Lepisosteus oculatus: one gene and its partners. The protein of the gene in region 2 interacts with the protein of the main gene of each other region in a pairwise test. Links are inferred from orthologs where the notes say so. Each region holds a gene or a part of one and is shown on either strand. Other genes may lie near its edges.

Region 1 (7,172 bases), on a different chromosome or scaffold from region 2:
AAGATGCTTTCTCTAAGGTTTACCTGTGTTTGGGACAGAGGAGGCACTTGTGGAACCAATGCTGTTAGCTCTGGAAACAACACTCCCAATCCTTGCACTGTCCGAAAAGAAAGCTGAAAAAAATAAAATAGGTCACTTCCTTGTGCACACGACTGAGCTGCAGCATGTAGCCCAGTTAAAGGGCGATGGAACTTAAAACTCACTGAAGACACACCCGAAAAACACCTTCCACAACGAAAACAGCAACACTCCACTGCATATTTCTAAGCATAAGGGGTGTTTTCAAAATGTCCAACGCTCAGGCAGAGCTGTCACACGTCATGCATCTCAAGATGGATCGTTTTAAAATAGATTTCAGTTGTTTGGGCAAACAGAGAAAGAGACCAAAGAAAAAAAACATACAATTTTGTAATTGTTCAAGTAGGTAGCCACATCAGCATGCGCGGCTAGCCACCCACTCGAACTCGAACGTCAGAAGGCAGGAGGTGTCTTCGGATGCCTTCTGGACACCCGAGGAAGGCTGCACACCCAAAACTCCACCTCTCTTCTTTGCCTTTCAGCATGGGATAAACCTTTACCGGTTCCAGTTTTTTAACTGTCTGACCAACTTCAAAAATACAAATGACCTCCAGAAAAGTTCACAGAGCTGACCCAGTCAGACCCTGCCCCCTCTTCCCTACGGATTCTGCCACCATCCTACCCATTCCTCGGATCCCGTGTCTCCACTGGCTTCCCGAGAGATCTGCGGGCAGGCAGGTTTCTGCTCTGGCACAGAGACGGCAGGGCTCCTGACAACACAACCACCACCGACCTCGAGATGACAGGCAGCAAGAGTACTTACAGGGGTCGAGTCCATTGTCAGCGAAGGTGGGATCCGGCTGCTGCAGAGAAAAAGTGAAAAGGAAACAAAACGAGAGATTTTAATAACCAGCTTGAGAGGGGCAATTTGACCAAGCAGCTGTCTTTTCCATTGACATGCTGTGTCAGCCTCTGCAGAGGAAAATGTAGAGCAGGAGTTTTAGATACATAATGCTGCAGTTCCTTTAGAAAGTATCCACCCCCCTTGGTCTTTTCACAATTGATGTTGCAAACTCAACTATACATTTATATGGGATTTTTCGGTGGCTGATCTACACATATTAATCTACGTCAAAGTAGAAAGGAACATTCTACCTTGTATATACCTCATACATACTTCTTTTTTGAATTTTTAAATAGAAGGTATCTGTAAGGATTACAAAACTGCTGAAAAAATAAAGAGAGTTAAGCAAAAACTGGTTTCTAATCTCATCCACACCGAGAGAAAAAAATCACTACCTCTTCTGTCATCTCCACGAGTGATATGTTCAGCTGTGCTTGGTGTTTCACAATCAGAAACAGAATGCTTTTTAATAATTTAAAAAATTTTCATTTCATTTTGCTAGAAGACACCTAATAAACCTCAATTATATCTTCTCTCGTTATTTTCTTGTGTTTTTAATATAAATTATATACGGTACCATACAGAAATATTGTTTCACAAAACTATTCATGAAGCATAAGTTCCCAAATACTGAGCTGTGCACCCAGTAAATGACTACAACGTCGAAAAATCAGTAAAACCACAAAGTAATGATAAAAAAAGACTAGAATAATTCATTCTTCTTTTCTGGTTTCGGGAAAAATGAAGGGTGAACTTTACAAACGCCGTTTAAGACAGCGGCCGATTTGCAAACCTAGAAAATAAAATATTTAATTTTGCATCCCAGATATTGTTACTTTATAGTTAATATTTTTCTTAAACAAAAGGATTTTCCGGCACCATCAATCGCCAGGGCGAAACCAGAAAGCGGAATTGTGCCACAACCCCAATATCCCAGAATCCTACGACCCCATGCAAATGAGCGAATGCCAACAGCCAATTGAAACGCAAGGAAGTAGCCAAGGGCGGGGCGTGTATACTCCCACCAATGTTTTCTTTAAACTTTTACAATGCTATTAAACTTCAATGCAATATTTGTGTGGGATATCCCCGCGTAGCATATTACACCTTTAGGGATTAGCTTGAATTGTGCGCTATATACATACCTCGCAATTCAAACCTATTTTTTTTATATTCACTTTATGTCCACTGATAATCACTTAGCCACTGCTGGCTGGTCTTGTTCTATTTATAGATCGGAAACTGAATGTTTAATTTCCAGTGACAAAGGGTAGTCGTTCGGACAAACCAGTATTTATATTAAGTGAAAAATAGGGAAATGCAGCAGAGTACCTTCAAAATGTTAACCTCCGTGTGTGCCCACGGATACTGAACACGTCTGCCGTACTGGAACCAGGAGATTGTGCGTGTAAACAACCTCACTACTACAATTCCAAATTCGGGACATAAACTCAACTCGACCCAAAGTCACACACTATGAACTATACCCCCTAAAACGGGAAACAGCAAAAGACAATTATAACAGGTAGCTTTTCATAGTGGTGAAAAATCCTTCTGTATTTTTCTTAACATGCGGCCATTGCCTAAGAGAGATTCGAGTCGCGTTTTGGTTTCAAAAGCGTGCATTTTTAAGATCGCCCATTAAAGGAAACCAGCTGGCTTCTTCTCCAAAAGCCTATAGCTTCCGGCGTCGCAAACAAAAAGAAAACATCTATTTTTTTTAATTCCCGTTTGTGTCCCATTTGCTCCGGACAACAACGTCTACTTAGCAAATCATTATTATTGATCCCTAGTCCTTAACGTACAGTGCATCGATCCAAGTAACTTCTGCACAGGTTTAGAATAAGGACTGCGGACTGAGTGGTTCTAGAAAGTGCTCCGAAAAATTAATACAAGTAGAACATGCATGCATTAAAGATGAATACGTAAGAAACCAGAAGACTTCAAAAACGAAAGTTATGTTTCATGACAATAACAAGTAGCGTAACGGAGGAAAAAAAAAACCCTTGATCGTATTTTTTTCCCCGGCCAGTGCGGTGTCTGAACGCTACAGACAGCGCTACGTTAGCTGTCGCTGCCTTTCTAGACGTGGCGGGGGGAAATCTTCCAAATATTCTTGTGTTGCTTTCACGTGTATTGAGGAATAAACTGTTTCGCTTACTTTGCTCCACGGGTCCTCCGGTGAAGTACTGGGCTCCGTCATCTTGGAAACCACGCCGGAGCATCACGGGAAGGAGAGCAAGGTCGCCCTCTAGGGCGCGAGTGTAGTAATGAACAAGTAAAGGTTGATTCCCTGCTGGAAAGAGAGGGAAACGCAACGTTTCGGTTGTGGGGCCACACCCGAAGAATAATTATAGTAATTAATAATAATTGCTTACACTTATATAGCGCTTTTCTGGACACTCCACTCAAAGCGCTTTACAGGTTATGGGGATCCCCTCCACCACCACCAGTGTGCAGCCCCACCTGGATGATGGGACGGCAGCCATAGTGCGCCAATACACTCCCCACACATCAGCTCTCAGTGGGGAGGAGAATAGAGTGATGAAGCCAGTTCATACAGTAGATTGGCTCCGCAGCCGAAACGTTGTTTTTCCTTACTTCTCTTTTCCGCAGGGAATAAACCTTTACTTTTTCCTTTGCAGCCTACGCGTGCTAACGCATGTGACGAACTACATGTGTAGTAATGGATATTCTGTCCTAGGAATGGACTTTTAAGAAAAATACCCTATATATATTAAAAAACTCAACGAAAAATCAATTAGGCGCGTTTTTAATTTTTCAAGTCTACTTGTGTGAGTGAGGTTTGAGTTTTGTTTCTGCAGTGTCTACCTTTCACCAGAAGAGAGCAGCAGAACTTTCCTATGGTAAAAGTCCAACCAATAAGACTAACAATAAGACACTGACTCTTAAGTAATAATAATTCATTAATAATTAATTCATAATAATAGATCGCCCACCCCCCTCCCACATTCCTGTATCGGAGATGTTGTGCTGAGACCTGTGGACAGTAAGCTTTTCTGGGTAATGGAGACCACAATGTTTCTCAACAGTACACTGATGCTTTCTCCTTTAAATATGAATGATGCTATCAACAGGCTATGAAAATTAAGTTCAACCCAACCACCAAAAAAGTGGGGGTCTCCCAACCAGGCTCGTTAAAGTCTCTCAAGTTTGTCTGGCCTTCAGGGAATTCACAACAATCTTCTTGGCTTTTTCCCTCCTCCCAGTGCCTCAGGACAGGCACGTGAAATATGTGCACATGTTGGGGTGCTGGCTACTCCAAGCACACTTCTCCATCTCTGTATCTGTTGGTAGGGATGTTTCTTGGTGCCGTGTGAGATAATAGCTACTAATCAAGATGAATACACTGAGGTCAGGAGCCAGCGGAAATCAGACCAGACCTGCTGCTTGAAAGAGCTGCTTCTGAAGGCAGGGGTTGATGTAAGATAAGACATTTTTCCAGACTGCTCCCAGTTTAGATAAGAAACTCCATGAAAATGATTTCCGTTCTCCATGTCGCCCATATAGGGAATTCATAAAGTAGCACAGAACTGCACAGACGAACACTTTCTAACGGCGATACTTCAAACACAGTGAATAACACATGTTGTAAGAAGACTTCCAACAGGAATGGCAAAATGCTGCTTGGACAAAATTAAAATTATATTTTTGCATAAAAGAGGAAAAAGAGCACCACTGAATTTCATGTACTCTTGGTCAATTAAATCACATTTCAGGATCCACCTAACAAAAGTCAGTTCTAACATCCTCTTAAATACATTTTCTCTATGAAGTGATAAGGGTTGATAGGCTTAATATTATTAAATTGAATAAGACATAATTTTTGCTGACATTCCCTACCAGTCTAAAATTATTTTGGGGACTTGGTTCTTAAAGACGTCTGGTTGGGAAAAAACGAGACATCTGGACATGCTTCTCCAACATGTCCATACATACAGCTATTCATCACTGGACAGTCGGCCCGGCGTCAGACAGCTCAAGAGAACCTGGGCTGAGTAAAGCCAACACTATCCCAGCAGCACCTGAGCTTGCGTCGGTGCTGGGAGAATCTTCATCACAGTTGGCACATGGGACAAGACACAGGCTCATACCCACAAAGTCAGGCTAAATATAATTCACCCTGATCTCTAATCTACCACCTGTACTGCCTGCGCCACTCAACAGTTTTAACACATCATTGCTTTTGAAACCTGACACCCACTGCTTAAAGACAGCTTATACTTATCACTACCCTATACTACGCTATACTTATGCTCTTTTTGGCTTTAAGGACTACAAAGTTAAAGCCCAGCCCTGTTACCATTTTAAATTGAGTGTGGATTATATCAAAGGCTATCTGGATTGCAGTGTTTAGAAAAGAGAGGGAGATATGTTCTCTTGAGAAGCGGTCAGCGTTTCCTTTCCCAGGACACTCAAACTCTCCCCCGCTCTACAAAAAAACCAATATTTTCAAGTCCAATGTTCATCGTCTTCACAGAAGACCCAGATCATAGACACATTCTTCTAATTGTAAAACTGAGATTTTCAGAGCAGTGGCTTCTCCCTTTCAATGTTATGGTATCACAGCAGGCCTCCTGTTAATAGAAGCACCACTGTGACAGATAGTGGACCAAGAGAAATGCTAGCTGCAGTGTAAGCAGTAATTGCTTACTGCTGTTACTGTCTCACCTCTGAGTCCCCACCCTCTACAGCTCATAGGGGTGCTCCAGGCCCACTGCGCAAAAGAGCTGTGTCAGGAGACCTGGGAGAAGACATCACTAGTCACAGTCTCACTTTCAGTCCTGAGACCTCCCCAGCACCGAGCACCAATTTACAGTGGCAACATCAAGGCCGTTCCCGGATTTTATTGGGAGTACCTGGATTACTCATCGCAAACTCAAAAGGGAGCATGAGGAAGAACATGCACACTTCACACAGCCAGGTGCATAAAGTCAGAATCGACCCCTGGAGATGTACATCTACTGTCACATCAACTACCAAGCCACTCTGCTGGCCATGACAGGTTATGTTCGGTACAGGAGGATAATGATGACGCATGCCCTGTTAACACGGATAACATCTGGACAGTGTTTTTGCAATCTCCCATGTTATTAACATGCTTATACCAGGGGCTTTTCTTTGCTCTGACATAGATGTACATTCCTTAAAATACATTTCTATAATTTACGGCATTTTAGCATGATTTATTGTTACTGCACCTCACTCTGCCTTCACCACGGAGTGCCAGAGTTATTTTATACAGGAGAGTGTCGCGGGCGTGACTGCAGTTCCCCTGGCAGGACCCTTGCCTCGGGATAGATTGCTGTCATCTGAGCCCCCAGAAGCATGTGAGAGCTGGGAGGCTCGCTGTATCGTCCCAGGCAGATCAGTAACGCTCGTGCCCCGCACCACGGGTATAAATAGAGCTTCAGGGGGTATCAGTGCTGGAGCACAGCGATGGTCACCAGCAGTAAATGGGGCATTAATCCAACTGGTTAATCTGGAAGGGTTCGTGTGAGGGCAGGCAGGACAGCCAGCTGTGGTCTACGAAATGTTTCCTAAATCTGCGATCATCGCGATTACAAGATAAACTTCTGGTAACTGCCGGGTCACCATCCAGTGGTTTCCAGGTGTGAAATACCAGGATTCAGCTCGGAAGAGTCTGTAAAAATAAGATCAGCTAGAAGCAGGCTGAAGTCCAAGTGCCAAAAGTGCTTTGGTTTTCTGTCATATTTCACAACACACACAGACCTTGGGAATGTGTTGCATTTAATTTGCTTACTTGTCCATTTATTTGTTTCATGATGAATTACAGTCCGTGTCCTGTTGCCAATTATGCTAGTGCTAAAAATGAACAGAGTCTTTTATACCAGCCAGCTTTGCCAGCTTTCCCACAGGCTCTGTAAGTCTTGCTCAGTGATGTGATGGGTAGTGGTGATTCTTGAATGATGTTAGGATTAATGTATTTCATGTATTTCTGAATAAAGTATCACATTTTTTGTCATAAACCTCAAGGTATAACAATAATGGTTAAATCATAGGATTATTATGATTATTCATGTTTTTGTCTATTTAAATGTTTATGATCATCATTATTGGCTGATTACTGATTGCAGTAGTGATAACTGATTTCAGTGCTTCGTTTCCTATGATTAAATAATAAAGGTTTGATGTAAGTCTATGTAGTGGGGATCTCTGTTCTCTAAGTTGCTAGCATGTCTGTTTTAATCATATCATAAGGCCGTAC
Region 2 (7,105 bases):
CCCGAGACCTCTGAGCACCTCAGCAGCGCCGGATCTTTTCCCCAGGAGGAGGACATGAGCTCCACACCAGCGCCCCCACGCCAGACACAGACCAGCTTTCGGCCCAGGTTTCAGGCTGGGGTCCTGAGTCTTCGGGGTCCCCCTCGGGCCACTGCTGTAGGGACTGTAGGGTGTGTGGAGCCTGAGGGGCAGAAAGCACGCTGGGCACTGGGCCCCGGGCTGGTACCCCCCTTGAGGCCAGCGGGACCAGTAACTGACTGTGGCGAGTTAATAACAATAATAATTATAATTATTGCTTACACTTATATAGCGCTTTTCTGGACACTCCACTCAAAGCGCTTTACAGGTAATGGGGATCCCCTCCACCACCACCAGTGTGCAGCCCCACCTGGATGATGCGACGGCAGCCACAGTGCGCCAGAACGCTCCCCACACACCACCTCTCAGTGGGGAGGAGAGCAGAGTGATGAAGCCAGTTCAGAGAGGGGGATTATTAGGAGGCCATGATTGGTAAGGGCCAATGGGAAATTTGGCCAGGACACCGGGGTTACACCCCTACTCTTTTCGAGAAACGCCCTGGGATTTTTAATGACCACAGAGAGTCAGGACCTCGGTTTTACGTCTCATCTGAAGGACGGCGCCTGTTTACAGTACAGTGCCCCCGTCACTATACTGGAGCATTAAAACCACGTGGACCGCAGGGTGAGTGCCCCCTGTCGGTCCCACTAACACCCCTTCCAGCAGCAACCTTAGTTGAGGGTTGTTGAGATCTGGGGGTGAAGACAAGGAGGAGCAGTAGTGACACTCCAGGCGCTCACAGGTGAAATCACAAGTGACACAGCACCAGGGTCCCAGGCTCCATTCCAACCTCAGGCACCTTTCTGTGGGGAGTTTGCACGTTCTGCCCAGCTCTGCAGGGGCTTTCCCCAGGTGCTCCAATTCAAGGTGCACAGGTAACCTCTTCATCCTGGAGAGGAGGACGACTGGGACCCCCCTCTTCCCGAACCTCACGCATCGGGAGTTTCAGAACCTCCACACACAACGCCGGGCTTTCCTGATCCTGTCGGGGGGAGGGGGGCATCACATTGCTCAGCCCCTCATGGACCCCCTGTTAATTAATCAAGCGTATGAATCGAAAACTGACGGAGATCCAGATGATCAACACAAACCAGGCGACAAAGACGCCTTCTTCTGGAGCTGATCTGTGGCCGGACTCTGCGGGTCTATCCTTTCTTCAGAAAACGAGTAGAATTAATTTACATTCTATACCTGTCTTTCAGCGCCAGCTGGAGATCTGAGCAGCTCTGAGCCCCCGGACTGCAGCTCCAGAGCGAAAACCACGGCCAGACGCACCACGATCTAAAATGATGTAATATCAGGCTGAGACGCCATGAATTAATGTGGCCTGCGTGCGTGTTTCTTTCCAAGCTCACCTAATCACAGCCGAGGAAGGCTGTATAAATCTCATTAATAACAGCCGTATGAGCATTTAAGGTGCTGCAGTAAAAATGAAGTACGTTTAAAATGTAAGCCAATTGGAACCGGTTAAATTTAAATAAACTGTATTAAACTGGACCGGTTAATGCGGAATTGAGGAACATACCCTATAAATTACAACACGGCATTGTCTTAAGTATTTTAATTTCATATTTTGGTCAACTTTCGAGGGGCGATATTCAGTTTAGCGTCAGTTTGATGAAGTTATCGTGAAACGCGTGTGTCCCTCATCGTCCGCCTGCTCTCTTCAAGATGGTAGCTGTTACTGTCGCGGACGACCAGCGGGAGAAACGCGTCTCGCCTCCTCCGGCCCCGGGTCCAGGGGAAACCCCCCGCCCGGGCCCTGGGGGTGACTCCCTCGCCTCTCGCCCAGACGAGCGGCCCGCCGGCGGCGGCAGGGACCCCCATCCCCGGCCGGGGTCCCCGGGCGAGCTCGCTGCGCGCGAGCGAGGACACGGCCATTTTGTGGAAGTTTTGCAGAAATAACGTGTCGTTTCCGTTCGGGCCGCTTCAGGCGCGGATCTCGCCGGAAAGGCGGCCGGCTGTCCGGGGGGCAGCGGCGCGGCTTCAGTAGTAGCCCCCGGGCCGCCGCCGCTGCCCCCCGGACGTGCGCTCACGCAACGCCAGGTTTGCCCCCAGCACGGCGCGCGCTCCCCGGGGCAGGAGGGGCGACCCGCCGCGCGTCTTAAAATGGACCCCGGCGGAGCCGCGCGGCGCCGGCGGCCGGGTCCCCGAAATGTAAACAGCTGCTGCCGGAGGAACGGAGGGGGGGGGCGCGGGTGCACGCGCTCGGGGTGCCCCCTGAGCCCGGAGGAAAAACACACACTCACACGAGCGCGCGCACCCACACTTCGACGCGCGCGCGCGCGCGCAGCGATTTTAAACACGACGGCACGGCGAGAGCGGATCGAGAAGGAGAATAAAGACGCCGAGACTCACCGAGTGTCTGGATTGTGGAAACATCATGTCAGTTTCCTGTTGTTAATTCCTTCTGCCGAACAAAGACGAAAGCCGGGGTGAGGGACCTGGAATCGCTCCCTTTGTCTCCCCGTGTCGGGGACGGAGGTGCTCGCGGCGCGTCGACGCCAGTCACCGCAGGAGACGAGCCTCGCTCCTGTTTCTCAGCCCTGTGTTCGTCTTCCCAACCGGCCCTAATGTATCCCACTCATACTGCGGAGCGCTGGGGTTTCTGTCCTTTGTTTTAAGAGAGAAAGTCTCGGAACCGTGTTCTCCTCCCAGACGGTCCAAAGTTTGAACAAGCAGCGCTGCTCCTGCGCGGCTCCCTTCCCCGTGACTGACAGAAACGCAATCACGCTGCTCCCCGCAGCCCTTCCCTGCCTCGCCGTTACTGTCTGCCGGCGCACGCCGTCCTGCGCCTGCTCGGCAGCGGGCGGATGAGCTGGGCGGACGTGTTTTCAGAGCGCCCTGCGGGTCGTGTGCGTGGGGCTGCGCTCGCGGTGTGGGTGCCGTGTCTGCTGACCGACCATGTCGCCGCCGCGCTCGAGCTCTGACACCACGCACGAGCCGCGCGGCCCGCGTGACGCGGGACTGGGGCGGCGCTGCGCTCGGGCGCGCTCGGCAGGCCCCGGCTGCGCTGTCGGGTGGGTGAAAACACGAACGCTTAGCGGAAGTGTTGCCGTCTAATGTGTCCCCCCTCTCGCCCTCCTCCCGGCCCGCGGGTGCGAGCTCTGTTCCTCCCCGCACACCCGTGGGGTCCAGGCCAGGGGTGCGGGGGGTCTAGTTACTGTGAACTACACGCGTTTTCAATTGCTCGGGGGGATTTTAAGTCCTCAGGACCGGAACCGTCTTTTAACCCTCCTAGACCGCCATGATGATTCCGCTGTGCACTGGCTGCTTAAACGACGTCTGGCTGTGGGTATCCCAGCGAGACGATTCACCTAGATCAATTCGAGTAGGGAGCAGCGTCGGCCGCAGAGGAAAGGGTGAAGGTGTTTTCCCTGCTGAAAAGAAAAGAAAGGAAACACAGCGAGGCGTTGTGCCGAAACAAATGTCGTGTTGCTTTTTTCTAACCTTCCAGCAGAGAATGAACCTTCACCTGTTTGGATGAAGCTCTGTGTGTGGACGAGTACTCTGTGTCTCGCATGGGGATGTTTCGTGCCCTGACGTCTGTAGGTTCAGAGGAAGTTGTGAAAGAGGAGTATGTTTCCCGCAGGCCCAGCACAGGGAAGCGCCGATCAGAAGGAGCGGTCCGAGCGAGTCCAGAGCTGTGGTGCTGTCTCAGAGGTCCACTCTGCCCGCCCTGCGGGACCCAGCGGGACCTAGCGCTCCCGGCTGAAAGCAGAGCACTGCCTGCTGGTTCTGCGAATGAATTTTTAATAAGACAAGGCCAGAGTCATAACTATTTAATGAGACATAATCTGTACTGCAAATAATTAATCAGGAGCTGTCTGTATGATGCCACAGCTGATGGGGAAATAACTTTTGGCTGCGGTTTGAACAGTACAAGGGATGGAGTGGAGTCAACTGAAAGGCCACTGTATTGTGTACAGGACTGTATCACTGTACTGTACTGTGTGTTGGACTGTATCACTGTACTGTACTGTGTGCAGGACTGTATCACTGTACTTTGTGTAGGGCTGTATCACTGTACTGTGTGCAGGACTGTATCACTGTACTTTGTGTAGGGCTGTATCACTTTACTGTGTGCAGGACTGTATCACTGTACTGTGTGTAGGAGTGTGTGAGTAGGACTATATAACTGTACTGTACTGTGTGTAGGACTGTATCACACTGTACTGTGAGTAGGATTATATACTGAAGAAGGCTCCACAGTTGAAACGTTGTGTTTTCTTTCTTCTTTTTTTCAGCATGGAATAAACCTATTACTTGTTCCTTTGCAGCCTACGCATGCTGACGCAGCTACCCACCTGAACTTATATAACTATACTGTACTGTGTGCAGGACTGTATCACTGTGTGAGTGGGACTGTATCACTGTACTGTACTGTGTATAGGACTGTACCATTGTACTATATTGTGAGTGGGACTGTATAACTATACCCACTATGCCTTCCTCTAAATCTTTCTCTAGATCTCTTCGTCGTTCCTTCTCTTCCTCCCTGGGCTACCTGCTCCCTCTCTCACTAAACCAGCTTTCCGCCTCTTCACAGCGATCTGTTCCAAGATCCAAGACCAGGCTTTCTAACCACCTTCTATTCCTTTACAGATGTCGTCGTTATAATATCATTCCTAAAGGATTTCGCCTGAAATTTAACACTTTTTCTTTGGACTTGTGTAATACTCGGAGACTTCTATAACAGTGTTAGCGGAAACTAATGCTTTCTACCATCCTCTCCTTCAGACAACAGATGACCCTTCCTGGCAACAACATCAAGGAAGCCAAGGCATTCTTACGGCTCACAGCTGCATAGCATCTTCTCTTCATAACAAACCTCATCAGATCCCTCAACTCCCAACTCCACCAGTTCCTCACTTCAGAGAAGGGTAAAAAACTCAATCACACTCAATCCTCTTTTCACCACCTCAGCCAATCCTAACCTTGTGGTTCCTATACCCTCTGACCTCTCTCTTTCACAGGATGAGCGATCTCTTCTCAGCAGAGCCCTGTTATGTTCCAGACCCAAGAAGCTGGACATCCCGCAAACCCAAGTCGACCTCAACCGTTTTCACCGCAGGATTCGGCTCAAAGCTCATTTTGCTGACAACGCCTCCTCACCTCACTGATGCCATTAACAATATAAATCCTAAACGGAGCTCTTGGACTCCCCCTTCCGGCCGGTTTCCACCAGTTGATTACTTTATTAACCAATGCAACAATCAAGTTCCCAAGACCCTTTCCAAACCCAGGAAACGCAGGTCTAACCTCACCCAAGGAGAAACTCAGGCACTCCAATCTCTCCGCACCAGGGATGAGATGGTCATCAAACCAGCAGACAAAGGAGGAGCTGTTGTGGTGTGGCAAAAAGACTTGTACATTAAGGAAGCCTCCAGACAATTATCCGATACTTCTGCCTACCGTCCTCTCCAACAGGACCCTACCACTGACTACCAGAAGGAAGTGGTATCCACTGTCGCTCTTCTTTTCAGCAACCAGGTGCTGCCCCAGGAAGCGAACCGTCTCATCGTCGAACATTCCCAAGTATTCCAATTCTATCTCCTTCCCAAAATCTAAAAACCCGACACCCCTGGACACCCCATTGTCTCAGCGTGCAATTGTCCGACCACACTCAGCTCTGCTTTCCGGGACAGCCTTATGAGACCTCTGGTTGAAATGCTTCCCTCATATATCAGGGATACGAACCATGCCCTCCAACTTTTCAATGATTTCCAATTTCAGGGTCCAGAATGCTACATTTTTCCCATGGATATCACGTCTCTCTCCACCATCATTCCCCACAACGACGGTCTTACAGCCCTCAAGCACAAGCTAGACAAACACACAGTGCTTGACCCTCCCACCCACACTCTAGTGCGTCTTGCGGAATTGGTTCTCACACTCAATGCCTTCTCATTTTATAACCTTTTTTTATCAGCAGGTTAGTGGAGTTGCCATGGGCACCAGGATGGGACCCAGCAGTGCCAATATTTTTGTCGGCTGGGTAGAAGAACGCTTCCTCACTTCCTACACTGGCTTCATCCCTGACCTCTACAAGTGATACATCGATGACTGCGTCGGTGCTGCTATCTGCTCTAATGACCAGCTAGAACACTTCCTGCATCAATTCACCAACTCTCACCCTTCCCTCAGATATACAGTTAACATATTTTCCACCACTCTTCAGTTTCTAGACATAAATGTATCTGTCCACGTCTCTCAACCTCGGTCTATTACAAACCCACAGATTCACACAGCTATCTTCTGTGCAGCTCTTTTCACCCCACTCACACCAAAAACACACCAGACCCTTTCTCACAGTTCCTCAGGCTACATCGACTCCGCAGTGACGACATGGGTTTCCAGAACCAAGCACTCAAAATGTCTCTTTTTTCATCAACAGAGGATACCCCACCCATGTTATTGACAGGGCTCTCACCCGGGCCAAAAACAGCCCTCGGATCATCAACTCGATCAGGAACTCCCCGTCTCACAACCCCATTCCTTTGGTGCTTCCCTACCACACACTTCCTACCCCCAGAACCATTATTAACAACTTCTCCACTTTACAGGGCGATCCCTCCATCGGTACCCCTAACCGCCCAATCATCTGACAAACCAATCTACGTAAACGTCTTGTTCACAGCTCCCGTTCGCACTCGGCAATCCCCACCAGGCACCTTCCCCTGCAACAGAGCTCGCTGCATCACCTGCAAATACATATCTAACAACACGCTCATTCAGGGCCCCTCAGGTCACTTCCAGATCACCCAGACGACATCCTGTACCTCCAGCAACCTCATTTACTGTATCTCCTGCAGAAAATGCCCAGCTATCTACGATGGGGAAACAGGAAGGAGACTAGGAGACGGCTTCAGAGAACATGTTAGGGCTGTGAAGATTTAAGATTTCTCAAAGCCCATAGTTTCTCAATGCACCTCAGACGGCCATGATCACACCGATCTCTCTGTCCCTGTTGTCAAAGGAGGGTTTCTCAACTCCCACAGCAGAAAAACTACAGAAACGAAACTCT
Region 3 (7,836 bases), on a different chromosome or scaffold from region 2:
TTATGTTTTTTTTCTAAGGCTTTGACACACATATGATCTAAACTCCTGTTATATTCTTCGCCAAATGAGCTTTGTTTGTTTTGTATAGTTAAACATCTCTATATTTATCAAGTGGCCAAAGCCTTCTATGATCTAAAATGCAATAGTAGACATAATCTTGATACTGTATATCACTTTCTGTCTTGTGGTCAGACTTCCTGATAAAAACTCTATGTGAGTCAGCTGATCTTTGTTCAGAGTATGGTGATGGTAGGTTGTTTCCTGCTGAAAAGGTAAGGTCACAATAGAATTGCAGATACAGTATACGTGAGAATCATTGAGGGATATTCCTCCATTGCCTCCATACTCTTCATGGTTACACAACAGTAGATGCCACCTTCCATCCATCCTGGAATATCTTCTACTATCTCTGAATCATAGCAGTGGTGTGCTTCCATCTCCCTATTGGAGAACATGCAGTAACACACTTTCACACTCTTTTTACCCTCATTGTGCTCCCTGAATAGGTCATTTCAAGCACAGCAGTCAGAAGTCAGGTCTCATCTGCACTACTCACTCATTAAGGCCCGATTTATATTCTGCATTCTTCTCCCAACATGCCCTATTCTGATCTATTTATCTTCTAAATTGTAATAATGCATTTAAAATCTTCTTATTGTGGCCTATGTGTATCTCCTGTGCCTAAAATTTACACTGTAGGAACATTTTTAGTTATTTCACTACTCTGCTAGTTACTGTCACTTTTTCCAATTTAATTGACAAATTGTGCATGGTGGTGCAATGGTTTTTAGCATTGCTTTCTTGCAAACCTGGGGCCTTGGGTTTAATTCCTGGGGTGCTGTCTACTGTAAATGAAGCTTGTGTGTTCTCTCCATATTTGTGTGGGTTTCCTCTGGGTGGTCTGGCTCCCTTCCACAGTCCAAAGACATACTGGTAGGCTAACTACATTAGCTTCTGGGAACACTGGTCCTGGTGTGAGTGTGTGTGTTTGTGTCTGTGTGCCCTGTGATGGAGTGGTGTCCTGTCCACGGTGTATCCCCTCTTGTACTTGTGTTCACTGGGAAAGACTCCCAACCCCGCCATGACCCTGTTTTGGATGAAGTACAGGAGTTAGAAAATTGCTGGATGGACATTCTGCTTCCCTTTAAACCATTACCTCTTTTACAGCTGCGCTGATGTTTGTTCTGTAATATATTAACTTTTCTTGTGAATTTTTAAACTGTCCTTTGTTGTTTGTTATTTGTAGTGTAATTTTTGATAAATTCACAAAATACAGCACATGAACTTCAGATTTAAATTGGCTTGTATTCCCTATCCATCGTCTAACAGGTTAAAAAGCTGATGAACTTTTGTATTTTACCTGTATTTACTTTTGTACAGTACTGTATATACTGTCCTTTGAGTATGCCTTATTGTAATTTGGAAGATGGCTTTGGAAAGGTGGTTGCTTTATTAGAAGAAGCTCACTAAAATAAAAATGATTAGATACATTGGTTGTCTAAAGGAGATTTTTACTTATGGAGTAAACTTCAAAATCAGGTCAGAAGGAATCCTGGCAAAACGACATAATGTTGGCACATGTTTAGGTCCAAAATCCACCTCTGCCATGCAGTACTTATTTCCTTCTTCAAGCTTCCTTCCTGCAGTAAAGACAGAATTGTAGATTTAAATTTTGATTCATTTCAATAAATATGTCAGTATCTTTAATATCTTGGATAATGTACATTGTCTGAGAGAAAATATAAATATAATATACTGAAATTAAATATAAAATAATGAAAGAAAATGTATTCTATATAATGAGTTTCACAATGCTTATATTGTAGCCTACATAAATGTTCACAAAGGTTTTTCACGTGGGACCTGGGTTTCCTCCCACAGCCCAAAGACATAGTAGTACAAAAGGTAAATTGACTAAAATCCAGGATGTATCCTGCCTTGCACCTGTGGCTTGTCCGTATAGGCTCCGGCTCTCCTGCAACCCTGGATAAAGTGGTTAGAAAATGGTTAGATGGATGACCTTTCTTTTTTTTTCATTTTGGCCTTTCAACATGACCCATTGTGGATTGGCTACTTTTTTTATAGCACATTTCATATAGTATATTTTAAGAACATATTTGTCTCACTCTTCAAACTGGGTTATTTTTACATGCTCACAATGTGAATTTCTTTGTGAATCTAATGATTCTTTTTAGTGGTGCTCCAAAGTCTTGAGACTCCTGAATGATGTACCAGGACGACTTTTATGTTGATTTCAAATTATTTACTTTACATTGATTGACTGAGAGCTCTGGCATGAACTGTATATGAAAGTATTCGATGTAGTCTTTGTTGTAAAGCTAATGATGGTCTCTCTATGTTACCACAAAAACATTTCTTGTTTGCCTTTTGAAGTTTTCAAAATCTGTTGTAGACCTGTCAAAGTCAGTAACTTCGGCATGTAATCTTTAAATAGTGTGAATGAACCATACTGTAAAAGAAATGAATATGAAATGCATTCATTTATTGTAAAATTCATTATATATGGTTATAAACAGAAATTATGGATTTCTATATGGTTATATTGAAAATATACTGTACACAAATTATGGAAAAATGACTGAATCACAGATTAATTTATTACAGGAGATGTATTTTCCCAATAAACAGAAGCTGCTGTCATTCCTGTTAACTAACACTAAATTATTTTATTGGAACAGAACACTATTTAAATGAAAGCCCTTCTTTTTGTAATTACAGTTCCTGCAGAAACCCCAAAAGATGACTAACAGGATTTTCAATATCTGAATGGCAAATCATGAGAGAAAGGAAGCTTTACAGGATTCAACGGGACATAAGCATTTCAAAAGCAATGGTAAACAGAAGCAGCTTTGAAGTAGGTTGTTATTTTGTTTTTTATAGACTGCTATGAAATTCATCATCTGATATCACTACAGACATTATCAGTGAATAGGAGCCAGCTGCAAATATAATACAAAAAGATCAGAGGTCCATTCATTTTAATGAATTGTAATTAAAAAGACAAAACATATACCTAGGAGATCTGAAATACTTTAATATTTTATTAATTATATTGTGATTTGTTTCTGTTGAGAGTGGACTATACCACAACAATTGAGAGGGGTTTCTAAGTGCTGCAGCTTTTCTGTCTTGAATTTGATGAAAACGTGGGTTCAGATTTATCTAAGACATGCTCTAAAGAGAGGAATTGTTTCTCTGTAAAGTGATTTGTAAATACGGATCACAGGTAATTTTGGTGATATTTTGCAGTATGCTGGTTGTATTGTGTCTAAATCATGCTAGAAAGAGATTTCCATCTAACCTGAGCATATTTTAATTTCCTGATTTATTAAAATTACTTACCTGGCACTGGTTACAACAGCAGTATGTCAAAACTTCAACCTTAACATTTTTCCAACCTGAAATTCCAGAGTAGTACATGAGTGTCTGTTTGATTATTGATTTATTTGGCTGATGAAAATATCCAAAGAGATCTACTGTACACCTTTGTACCCATTTATATACTGTAGCTGATCATTTTACTGGAGCAGAGTGAAGTACCTTGCTCAAAGGCACAACCCCAGAGCCATAACCATTATAATCTATTTTTGAAGCTTTTTTATCTGGGTTTCTCAATCTTCACCGTGAAGTACATAAAAAGATTAAAATTACTGCTGCTCCTTAACTTAGGTTTCAAACAGATAGGAATAGGATTGGGAGGTCTTTTTAAAGGTTTTCCACTTACCACATATAATTTTGTGGTCTAATATGCTTAATTTACACATACTGTATCAGGCCTTGCATTCTAACAAAGTTAAAAACATGTACTTGTACTGTATACAGTATGATACTTGCAGGGCAGGACCTGTGTTTTTGAGGGTTTCCTGACGTACTGATACTGCTTTACAACTTTGCAACATGTTTGATATGTACTGTAGATATATGATACACGTACTGTATTATGAAATACTATGAATTCAGTATGTATATTTTGCCACAAGCAAACAGGAAATTGAACCATAATGGTCTTCAAATCTGACTCATTTCTGAAAGTTTGTTGTTTGAAACAAAGTTAACTCTGCCACACACATGTTCATCTAACACTAATCATCATATTATTGATGACTGGGGGTGATGGTAATTGCACATTCTGTTTCTCCCTAGTCCATCTTTCTAATATTATAATATGAATAATGTAACTTCCTTGAAAAATACAAGGAAAATAATTTTATCCTAAATAAAAGGTTTCCTACAAAATATACTGAAGCCTATGGTATTTCTCAATACAGTTGGGAAGAAAAATTAAGTTAACTGATAAAAGGCCTACAAGACAAACTGCTCATTGTGAGTTTGGTCAAGTTTTTAATTGAGAGAAAATGTTCTTTTAAAGGTTGCTAAACTTGTGACATGTACACTATACTGTAAAAAGGTACCGTCATTCAGATGAGACGTAAAACCAAGGTCATGACTCTCTGTGGTCATTAAAAATCCCAGGGCATTTCTCGAAAACAGTAGGGGTGTTGTCCTTGGTGTCCTGGCCAAATTTCCCCCTGACCTTTACCAATCATGGCCTTTAATCTATAAATTGGCTTCATTAGTCTGTTCTCCTCCCCACTAAATAGCTGATGTGTGGTGAGCATTCTGGCGCACTATGGCTGCTGTAGCATCATCTGGGTGGATAGTGCACATTGGTGGTGGTGGAGGGGACTCACCATTACCTGCAAAGTGCTTTGAGTGGAGTGTCCAGAAAAGTGCTGTGTAAGTGTAAGCAATTAATTTAAAAAAAATTCAAGAAGAATTAGTAGTTCCTATTTTCCTACTACAGGTAAGTGAACACATCTGCATATTTGTTGCATTAACTCTAATTACTGTATCTTTGACGTCTGGACTGTAGCGTTTAATTTGTATCATTCAGGAACATCTACTGAGAAATTTTTACTCAGACATCAGGCATTTGTTGAAACCGTGGTACAAGTATAGCCGGTAGCAGTTTCTGACTAGCTAGCTACCAAAACTCCAAGGGACGCCGCATAACTTTGCAAAGCATTCGTGTTCACTGTGCTACGTGGTTTCAGCCACAGCGTGCTGCTTTGTCATCTTACCCCTTGTGGTTTACCTCCTTTTGTTCACAGAGCAGAACCGTGGAGACTGAACACGTATCATTGATCACTGAACAGCGTACTCTTGGTACCCAGACCAGAACGATTACTTTGTTCAACTTAAGTACAGCGTCACTGTGGCAACACGGCACTCGCTGTACTGCTCTTAAGTCCCACCCTCGAGTCACCCAACCTGCACTTTTCTGAGGACTGGCTGGAGTTGTAGTGTTTGCTTTCCACCTGTTTACAGAGAGATACAGAATAAGTTTGAGAAAGCAATGACGGCGATTCGTAACAACCGACTTTCAAGACACCTGCAAGGTTAGGAGACTAAAATTGCGCATGCAAGACTGTAGAACGGTTTTATTTCGCTTGCTGAAAGAATGATTTTTATACCGCAAAATCGAAGTAAAGGTAAGAAATGTTTTCTCAATAACTTAAGTTTTTAACTTCTGCAGTATACATGAAAACGAATTTGTATTTGTCTGCGCATGTGCAATCTATTAGAGTACTACCAGCTGAGCACAAGTCCATTGAAATGTTTTAACAGGAAGTTTGTTAAAATTTAAAGTGTGTTGTTTGAAAGCTGAATTCCTCAATATAGTTTTAAAATTATTCTTTAACGCTGAACAATAATGACGTTTTTTAGTAAAATTTAAAGACTCGGCAGCAGTTCTGAAATAGAAAGCAGATGGTATATTGAAGGTACAAAAGTGTACTTCCTACTTTAAGTTTGGAATACGGTGGGAAAAGGTATTGCTTTTCATCTATTTAGAAATAGTCTATTTTCTAAAAATGAACATATTGAACACCACGTGGAGAGAATCTTGCCACTAGTCAAAAATATAAAAAAACACATTCAAATACTGATGTTAGTATAAATCTGCTTTTAATGTGGAAAATACACTGGACCTTTCAGGAAAGTAATATTTATCTGTGAGGATTGTATTTTTCCTAAGGATGTGTCTTCTGTTGCTTTTGGCATAAGTTATGTTCCATGATTTCAGTGAAACAAATGTTATGTCAGTCTTTTGTAGACTGCAAATTTCGCATCTGATTCTTGATGTTCTTAGACATGTACTGTATCACTATCTATAGAAAATTATAGTTTCCTTAATACAGTATATTCGGCCATACGTATTAGTGTGTAAACTGATGTCTACGCACAAAAAAAGAGGAGTTAGAGTAGTCTAATCAGTGTGTGAAAAATAATTTGATGTAAAAAGTTTCTGTGTATACCAGAATGCTGTCATCACACAGGACTGCTGTCAATTACTAAAATGTATAGAGTGACTTTATAATTACAAGTGGGTTTTCGAACCAATAGCCTGTGTTGTTTCAGTGCTTCTTTGTATACTGTATATTTGTTAAAAATCATGGGTGAGTCCTCTTCACGTGGACATATTCAGGTGTAAAAAAAAAAAACATAGATCTTCCTCTTCAGGTGTCTAAAAACAGATTATTGGTTTTAAAAGACATGAAGTAACTTACAGTTCAATTTTTGTTTTAGAAAATAACAGTCCACTTGATTTAATGACTACCAGTAGTTATGTGGATGATGGCAGACGCAGAGATTCAGTCTTCAGCTACAATACGACAGGTGTGCTGAAATAGAACAATTTTCCCATTATCAGACTGTTTTCCTATCTTGCATGTTTGAGATTAAATGTACTGTAAAGGACCTGCTTCATTTTTTCCAGGTCACTATAATATGATCGGACAAGTGTACCTTACCACCACTACCACTTCCTCTGTGAGCTTTTTGTTGAATGCAGATTCTGTGGTAATATTCTATTCAGTTAGCTTGGACTGATAAGGCTGCATGTGAAAGAATCGAATGAACATTGTTTCATTTGCTGTATGTGCGGATGTAAAAACTGTCGATACTCTTAAAATAACCTTCAGTTATAAAAATGCATGATGGTGAATCTGCTTAATTGGATATTTCAGTATATTCAGCAAAAATATTTTGCTTGTTTTTTTTTCTTCTATATGGGTAAATAATTTGTTAAATCAAGAAAAGACGCCTAAAGTGAGATTTAGGTAGGGTTTATATTTTCCTGTCTCTAATATAAGGTTTTAACACTTAAATGAACAAGGCTACAAACAAGAGCCAGTCATTCAACCTTTCTTATGTTCTTATTAGGCTTAATCCATAACAAATCAGGACATGGTTTTATTTGATCCATTTAGCAGACACTTTTATACAAAGTGCCTCATTATAAAATAATCCTAACTTATGCAGTAAAATAATTTCTTGATCAAATATAAATGTTACACTGTGCAACAAGAAAAAAAAAAGTAGTGACTTAGATTCTTAACTGTGGCTTAAGAATTCATGGGAGAAAGTTGTACTGTAGGTATCAATATACTGTAGACAAAATATGAGAATCGCAGGTATAGACGGAGGAGATGAGTTCTACTGTATTTTGGTGCTGAAAGGTCATCAGGGGTGGTTTAGTCCTGATGTCTGTGGATAACTCGTTTGTTAAGTTAATAGAGAGTGGGAATGAGATAAGACTGCAAAGATAAGGTAGGACTAGGTGTGTAGGAGTGGAAGGAATATAGGGAGGAAGAAGGAATATAGGGAAAGGAAATAGATTGGCGGGGTACAAATTAATGGAGAGAGAATTGTTCATAAGAATCTTGAAACGATGCATGCAGATATTGGAAGACTAGAGCTTTTGAAGCAGATGAATATATGTTAGATATAAAACAAAGGAATCAAATTGAGCAG
Region 4 (7,351 bases), on a different chromosome or scaffold from region 2:
GTTCAGTTCCGGACTTGGGGAGCAATCTGCCTCAGTTTGTATGTTTGCTGGTTCATGTTTCCTCCTAGAGCCCAAAGACATACTGGTTGGCTAACTGGCTTCTGGGAAAATTGGCCCTGGTGTGAGTGTGAGTGTGTCTGTTTGTGTCTGTGTGTGGCCCTGCGATGGACTGGTGTCTTGTCCAGTGTATACCCTGCCTTGCGCGCCCTGTTTGTCGAACTAGGCTCCAGCTTTCCCGCTCAACCGTGAACTGGATAGAAAATGGCGAGATGGTTCAGAATATAAATGCCTGGAAAAAAATAGGGATTGTTGGAAAACTGTTCAATCGGTTTATGACAATATTTCAGCAGTTACTCTCCACTGCCCTCTGGCATTTGAGATAACAGCTACATTGATGTACCTAAGGTTCATAAACACAGAAGGCACAATCTTGTAGAAACATTCCAAAGAGTCTTTGTACTCTGTGGAATCCTTCTGTGATATAATTACAGAAATAGAGACCTTTCCTCTGGAGTAATTAAAGTTTTGGTTACTGAGAAAAGTGCATGGAACATCTTTAATTGTACTTTAATGTATACAAAGTTGAAAGCCAGCTTTAGAAAATGCTTTCTGTCTGCACTTAAAAAGACAGTACTTTATCATGAGCTAAACAGTTTCTTTATTCTCTGCCATTTCCTTCCAAACAAATCTGCACTTGTTAAAAACATAATTGACTACATTATATGTTATAAAATGTAAATATGAAAAAACATATTTCGAAGTAGGACTAGTTTACTGTAAGATCAAGCATTTGTTGATGTCCCCCACCATAAAAATCAAACAACAACAAACATGTTACATTTCCAGCCCCATTTTGAGACTATAGTAAAACACAGTCTTACAAAATGTAGAGAGACTGTTAATAAAAGCCAGAATGAGGGTTGCATCTTTTAATGAGACTCCTGCTGGAAAGAATTTACCAGCAAAGAGATTTAAAGTCAAAGATATTATTGTCTAGTCATCAGGCTCCCTGAGAAATGCTATCTCTCCCTTTTTGAGCAAACAAGGTTTATATCATAAACATGACAGTGTATGCTCTCTTGTAATTTGCGTAGGCCTTTTTGAACCTATTTTTGTCTGAAACGGTCAGGGCCCAGAGCTTTAGGCCTTCCTTGTTTCTAATCAGTTCCAGTACTTTGAAAGTTCTGCCGTCTATTTTGTTCCCTTTATATGTGTTTTGCAAGCAGTTCATTTTTCATTTCCAAATTTCCATCAAATGGGAGATTGTATCAGCATTTGTCTGGAATCAGATTGTATGCGTTTGAACACCCGTGCTCTGAAATGTATGAGTGTAATTAACTTCTGAAAGCAATTATTTCATTTTTGCTAATATTGAATGCTCTGGACATAACAGGAAGAATGCAAGCAACCTACTCCTTGTCTGTTTGTTCTGTTGTCTATATCAAGGTCAATTTCAAATTATGGACAGAATCCCTTTCTTCTTTCCACAGTTTTGTACTATTATCGTTGACCTCCAGCAGCATCACTACCTTCTGAACCACAAACAACTAGGAGACCTAGTTTATTTTTAAAACGATTGACTTTGGCCCAAAGCCACAGTTCTTAGTCTTAAAGCGATTTTAAACAAAGCAAAACAGAAGCATAAAAAACTCAGATAAAATAAGCATTTCCAGATGCTCCCTCATTAATCCTGGGGATAAGTGACATAAACCATGTCTTTAATCTTTCATATATCCGTTGTGGTGTGGCTCTTTTTTATATATTAGGTATACAATAATTGTAAACTCTTATTGGTTAAGCCATTTCATCTAAAGCCATTCATACCTGAAGGTTCAGTTAAAAAGAACACTATAAAATGTAAATTTACACCAGCTGGCAGTTATTACTGCTCTATTGTAGCTATTTCTGAGTTAGTCATTAACAGAAATCCTTTGATTATTGATTAATCTTTTGCAGTATCTGTAATTACATATATTGAGGATATCCCTTTTGCAAGCCAGCACAACACTTTTTCCACCTAAGGGTACTGTAAATTGTGTCACATCCTATAAACGAATATCTTTACTTACATCTAGATGTGTCTTTCTGTCTAAGTGGATACCTCTACACCCTTACTGCTAGAGTCAACAAAATAATTTACAGAGTAATGGAAATATGGCTAAAATCTATTTTCTCAGTCAAAGAACTGCAGAGTTTATATAAAAATAGCAAAGTATCCAAAATAACTGACCCCATTACTCATGAGTCTCTGAGAACCAGAACTATAAGCATAGCATATGAGCAACAATATAAGAAGGTTCATTTCCCTCTTTCCAGACACTCATGTTGCAGAGGTCCAAGGCTACCTATATATTATTCTCCAAGCATACAAAACATGAATGCACAGTAATGGAGATCAAAGATCTTTTCGTAGCTTAAAACAGCCGTATAGATGCTGTTTCATTTTGTACTGACTCTGGTTGAGATAATTAATGTGTCTGCCCCCAGACTGTTCCTTATCTTGTTTCCTCTGTGAAAATGTAAGACAAGGCTCACAGCAAGCAGAAGGGACAGAGTTCCTCTGCAGGACGATGTTATGCTCCGTCAGAAATGGAATTGATGGTTCCACGGTTTCGAGAAACTGTGAGACAAGTCCTGCCAAGAGTGAAGACCAAGTTGACACTGAGCAAAAAAAGTGTCTTTGGACACAGCAGTTCTTTATTTTTCTTTCATACGAAATTCCTGTTTTTGTTGGCCTGCCAATATCCTCACTTTTCCAAAGAAATTATTTATATCCAAATCCTATATTAATTTTGTGCTTCCCCTGACAAAAAGTGGATTGCTAACATTAATTAAGGAGTCTGTTCACTGCAGCTGTAAGACATGGGGCATAACTTACACTGGCCTGTGCTTTTGGAGCCTTGTCTCATTTTCCAGTTCACGCAGTGCAGAAAAATTACAGAATGATGAAAGAAACCTGGAGTGCTCCAAAGTACAAGACAAGTGCTCTGATGTATCATTTCTGATCTCAGAGGAAAGCAAATACCTGTGGAAAACTAAAGGAAATGAAAGTCGCTAAATTGTCAAGATTTACTGATCACTTGCTGAATTGAAAGGAAATATAGCTCATACTGTACCTTTTTCATGAGCTTCATCACCATTTTTCTTCTTTATTCTCCCCAAAATAGCAGGGGTATGACTGAATGAGGACGCTGGTGTATCAGTTTTATAAGGGAAACTACAAATTTCATTTTAATACCCATAAATGTGAAAATGTCCTACTGAACATTTGTAAGACTACAAAACTATATTCTGTATTAAAAGTGCTATCTTTGGTGTCTTATGCTTTATGTATGTAGCTTTAGACATTTGACATTGTTAGTAAAAAAAAACCCTCTTTTAATTTCAATCCCTCGTGTTCTCAACTGTCTATAAAAAAGTATAATTACACAAATTACTGCGGAGCATTACAATAAAATTGAAATTGAACTCAATAATCCAAATTATTGTCATCCTTTCAGTCTAAACTGCTTTTAATGCTCAAAACCGCAGCTATCCTTAGAGCAAAAAGAGCCAGGAACTCTGTGCCTTTAACAAATCTACATTTAGCTCATTTAAGGAATTAACAGATGTTGGCTTGTACAACTGGGGCAATGGAAGTTTTCTTAGTTTGACTAGGATACAAGGTGGTGGTTTTCAATGGTTTATCAGGGTCGGAGAGGTAAAAAGGACCGAGTTTCCCATTGCAGTTTCCTGCCACAGTCCAATAACATACTAGTAGGTTAATTGGTTTCTAGGAAAACTGCCCCTAGTGTGTCTAATGCTGTCTGGTTCTGCCCAGGACTGGTGTCCTGTCCAGGGTGTATCCTGTCTTGCGCCTATTGCTTGCTGGGACAGGTTCCGGCTCTCCTGTTACCTTGAATTCAATGAAGTTGTTAGAAAATGTATTAGTATTAGCAAGTAGGGCAGTGGGAAATGCAGGATGTACTTGCACCCAAATTATAAAGCTGTTGCCCACATCACAAGCTGTTTTACTATGCATTGTTTCCAGACGCATGGAGTGTTTGAATACAAAGCAAACAGTTTGTGTTTGGCATGAACATTGTTTTCATTAAGAAGAAATTTTCAGAAAGCCCACGGTATTTAGATGTCAGAGGTCTACGCGAGGCTGAGCCTTCAATGCACTGCGCTAACGATTCGCTCCTGTTGGTGGCGCTACAGCAAGAACAGGAGACACCCGTTTCCACTGACTTTTTAACAACGCATGCGCGGATCGCTTGCTGTAATAGTCGCATGCGCATTGTGGTGCTTTTGTTACAGCCAAGATGGCGTTAAGTAAAACGTTTGGGCAGAAGCCGGTGAAATTTCAACTTGAAGAAGATGGGGAATTTTACATGATTGGTTCAGAGGTATGTATTTTATTAACGGGGTGTTCTTGAATCGGGTTCTGTAATCCTTTTGCTTCTAGCGTTTTTTAGAGCTGTGATATTAGTGTTTAAAGTCAACCTGGGGTACGGTTTCATTGTGTTTTGCTGTCTGGGCTTACTGAATGAACTGGCTTAGTTGGGTAAGCGCTATTTCTATTTCTCTTCAATTCAGAAAATTGAACTAAAACGATCTTGTTTTTAAAATAACTCACACTATTATGGTAGCATTTGATTAGTGTTGTGAGCAAATGTTCCTAAATTAATTAGAAAGGGCGTATTGGTTCTCGTAAAGTCAACAAGAAACACCATACGGTCACCTAGATGCTGAAGATAATGATAGAATCCACTTTATCTGGCAATGTCTTCGTAAACATTTTTCTCCAGCACGTTTTTCATTACCAGTATCTCGGATGTCACATATGTCAAACTGACAAATGCAGATTTACACGAATTTGAATGTCTTATTAATATAGTCATTTATTGGAAATGGGTTTTCTTGTTTGAGTAGAATTTACAAAGATTATAAACTAGATGAGGTCATTCGGTTAACCTGGCGTTTTCGAATGGTAATCGATCCGCGATGATCATTTTTTCAGTTTTAAATGCCTGGGTAACCATATAGTTTCTGCTTAAATTGTTTGGGCTGATTTTGTCAAAGTACAGTTACTTAGATACTTAAAGTAATCTTTTCTGTTAAAGACAAAATAGTGAAGTTCTTGAACTTGTCAGTGTAAGACATTCCTTAATTCTGAAAATATAGTATGTGGTTGTATGACATGTTATTGGTTGGCTTATATATTTAATTGGCAACGAAATAGAGGTGTTAGTAACTAGAGGTGTTTGTAAGTATTTATTCATAATTTCCAGTTAATCATAGAAAGTCATGTTCAATGTTAACATCTAACCCGCTGAGAAAAAATCAAATTATTGTATTTCCTCAGGTTCATCTACTTTAAGGGACACTGCTATTTGACTCTTTGGTTTCGTTTCCTAGGTAGGAAACTACTTGCGGATGTTCAGAGGCTCACTGTACAAGAGGTACCCTTCACTGTGGCGGAGGCTGGCTTCTGTTGAGGAGAGGAAGAAAATTGTAGCATCATCACACGGTGAGTGTCAAGTCTTTATCACTTTCAAGTACTCCTGTTGCCCAATAGCAGCATTATTATCAGCGATGATAATTTACCAATAAGTTCAAGAAGTGTGAGTCGCAATCACTTTAATGATCAGAAACATTCTCCCCAGAGCTAGTAAATCCGAAAGTTCTACTTTTGGACAGCAGTATCTTCAGTGTTTTCTTTGTGTTAGATCACGGTTACACAACTTTAGCCACCAGTGTGACTCTGCTGAAAGCATCTGAAGTTGAGGAGATCTTGGAAGGAAACGATGAGAAGTACAAGGCAGTCTCCATCAGCACTGAGCCACCTGCCTACCTCAGGTAATGTTACAAAGCACAACTTGGTAATTACTGCGATTCAGTGGTGAATCCAAAAATGTCATGCAGGTTTATGAATTAGATCAACAGAAAATCAGTCTGGAGCATCCATACCAGTGCAGCACAAATCATTTCAAATTAAGCATGTCCCATCTTGTATCATTTATCATCTTGCGATTCCATGAAGAATGCATGAAACCTCCTTAGTCTGGATCAATTAAAGTGTGCAGTGCTAAATGAGATTTCATATATATGCAAATGATGTAATGTTTTGGAATTTTTAACATCATGTTGTTATTTAATGTTATTTTTTATTACCAGAACTTGAGTTGCTTAACCAGTAAAAGTGCTTTCTTGGAGCGCAGGTTAAGCAGCGGTTACTAAGATTTCATAGGTGGCAGAGCTGCCGTGCTGCCAGGGGCCTTTCGATGCAGCGGTGACGTCTGTGATTTGTTTTTGCGGTGACATTGGTGAGAACGGCGCCACTCATCGGTGCAGTGCTAGATCTCACCAGGCACTGGGCACTTGAACGTGTTGGGAGGGTCATATCCGTCACGAGCTCCTGAGCCGGAGCAGGAACCATTGTCAGAGAATCAAGCCTTAAAACTAATGGGGGGGTTACAGATTCAGCGGGTGCACAATAAAAAAGGGCAATTGCCCTTTTCATAATGACCAAATGACACTCAGTATGTCCAGGTAAAATATATTTTATATCGTTGTAATCCTCCGCGAAAGCTCTAGGTTCTTTTTCTCACATGTTCTGCCCAGGGAGCAGAAGGCGAAGCGGAACAGCCAGTGGGTGCCCACGCTCCCCAACAGCTCCCACCACCTGGACGCTGTGCCCTGCTCCACCACCATCAACCGCAATCGCATGGGCCGGGACAAGAAGAGGACCTTCCCGCTTTGGTGAGTCCGGAGAATCGGCTGGAGCTCGGCGGCTTTAAGACCACTGCGTGCAACAGCCACCCAACTCCCTACCCCGACCCCCCGCCTTCATCATGATAGATCGCCACCCTTCATAGTTCATACTGTATTATCTCAGTCCCAAGCCTCTCCATTTCATAAGACTGAATCACCATCCCTTACCAGTTCACACTGTACCTGTTATCAGAGGACGTTAACACTCATGTTCACCACAGAGTCCTGGCATATGATTCATTCATTTTACACCCATTACAGGTTCATTATTTCAACCCATAATGCCTTAAATACAATAACAAATAAATCAGTTCTCAGTTTCCTGCATGTTCTATGACTCAGTGTTTTAAAATAGTAGTACTATTATTACTAGTATTACTATTAGTAATAAAGAATAACAAACCTAAATCATTTTGCTGGAATTTCAGTGCTTATTTACAGTCCCGTTTAACAGGAGAGGAGATATTTCTTCAGGTTGTGCTTGAACACATGCTTTTTACAAAAAAAATTTCACTAAAGATGTACTGGAACTCTGATGTATGGCAATGTAAGTGTAGTAACTGAACAAATCAAATGTCACAAAAAACATAACATA

What was found.
Region 1: the proteins of tle5 (region 2) and mlx interact in binary tests that used the Homo sapiens proteins (3 or more experiments, as listed by UniProt). The two-hybrid records come from large-scale screens. The link is inferred for Lepisosteus oculatus from reciprocal best matches to the Homo sapiens genes TLE5 and MLX.
Region 3: the proteins of tle5 (region 2) and cracr2aa interact in binary tests that used the Homo sapiens proteins (3 or more experiments, as listed by UniProt). The two-hybrid records come from large-scale screens. The link is inferred for Lepisosteus oculatus from reciprocal best matches to the Homo sapiens genes TLE5 and CRACR2A.
Region 4: the proteins of tle5 (region 2) and smarcb1b interact in binary tests that used the Homo sapiens proteins (3 or more experiments, as listed by UniProt). The link is inferred for Lepisosteus oculatus from reciprocal best matches to the Homo sapiens genes TLE5 and SMARCB1.

What each region holds. Positions count from the first base shown.
Region 1 is NC_090723.1:4,645,202-4,652,373, forward strand, and holds the start of mlx (max-like protein X), read right to left. Parts: upstream 3,176-7,172; 5' UTR 3,126-3,175; coding exon 3,084-3,125; intron 882-3,083; coding exon 842-881; intron 114-841; coding exon 24-113; intron 1-23. UniProt on the Homo sapiens protein: Transcription regulator. Forms a sequence-specific DNA-binding protein complex with MAD1, MAD4, MNT, WBSCR14 and MLXIP which recognizes the core sequence 5'-CACGTG-3'. The TCFL4-MAD1, TCFL4-MAD4, TCFL4-WBSCR14 complexes are transcriptional repressors.
Region 2 is NC_090724.1:9,409,151-9,416,255, forward strand, and holds the start of tle5 (TLE family member 5), read right to left. Parts: upstream 3,004-7,105; 5' UTR 2,464-3,003; coding exon 2,437-2,463; intron 1-2,436. UniProt on the Homo sapiens protein: Transcriptional corepressor. Acts as a dominant repressor towards other family members. Inhibits NF-kappa-B-regulated gene expression. May be required for the initiation and maintenance of the differentiated state.
Region 3 is NC_090702.1:12,003,483-12,011,318, forward strand, and holds the start of cracr2aa (EF-hand calcium-binding domain-containing protein 4B), read left to right. Parts: upstream 1-4,645; 5' UTR 4,646-4,758; intron 4,759-5,100; exon of another isoform or gene 5,101-5,513; intron 5,514-7,836.
Region 4 is NC_090717.1:9,611,285-9,618,635, reverse strand, and holds the start of smarcb1b (SWI/SNF-related matrix-associated actin-dependent regulator of chromatin subfamily B member 1b), read left to right. Parts: upstream 1-4,273; 5' UTR 4,274-4,304; coding exon 4,305-4,388; intron 4,389-5,400; coding exon 5,401-5,512; intron 5,513-5,711; coding exon 5,712-5,841; intron 5,842-6,606; coding exon 6,607-6,744; intron 6,745-7,351.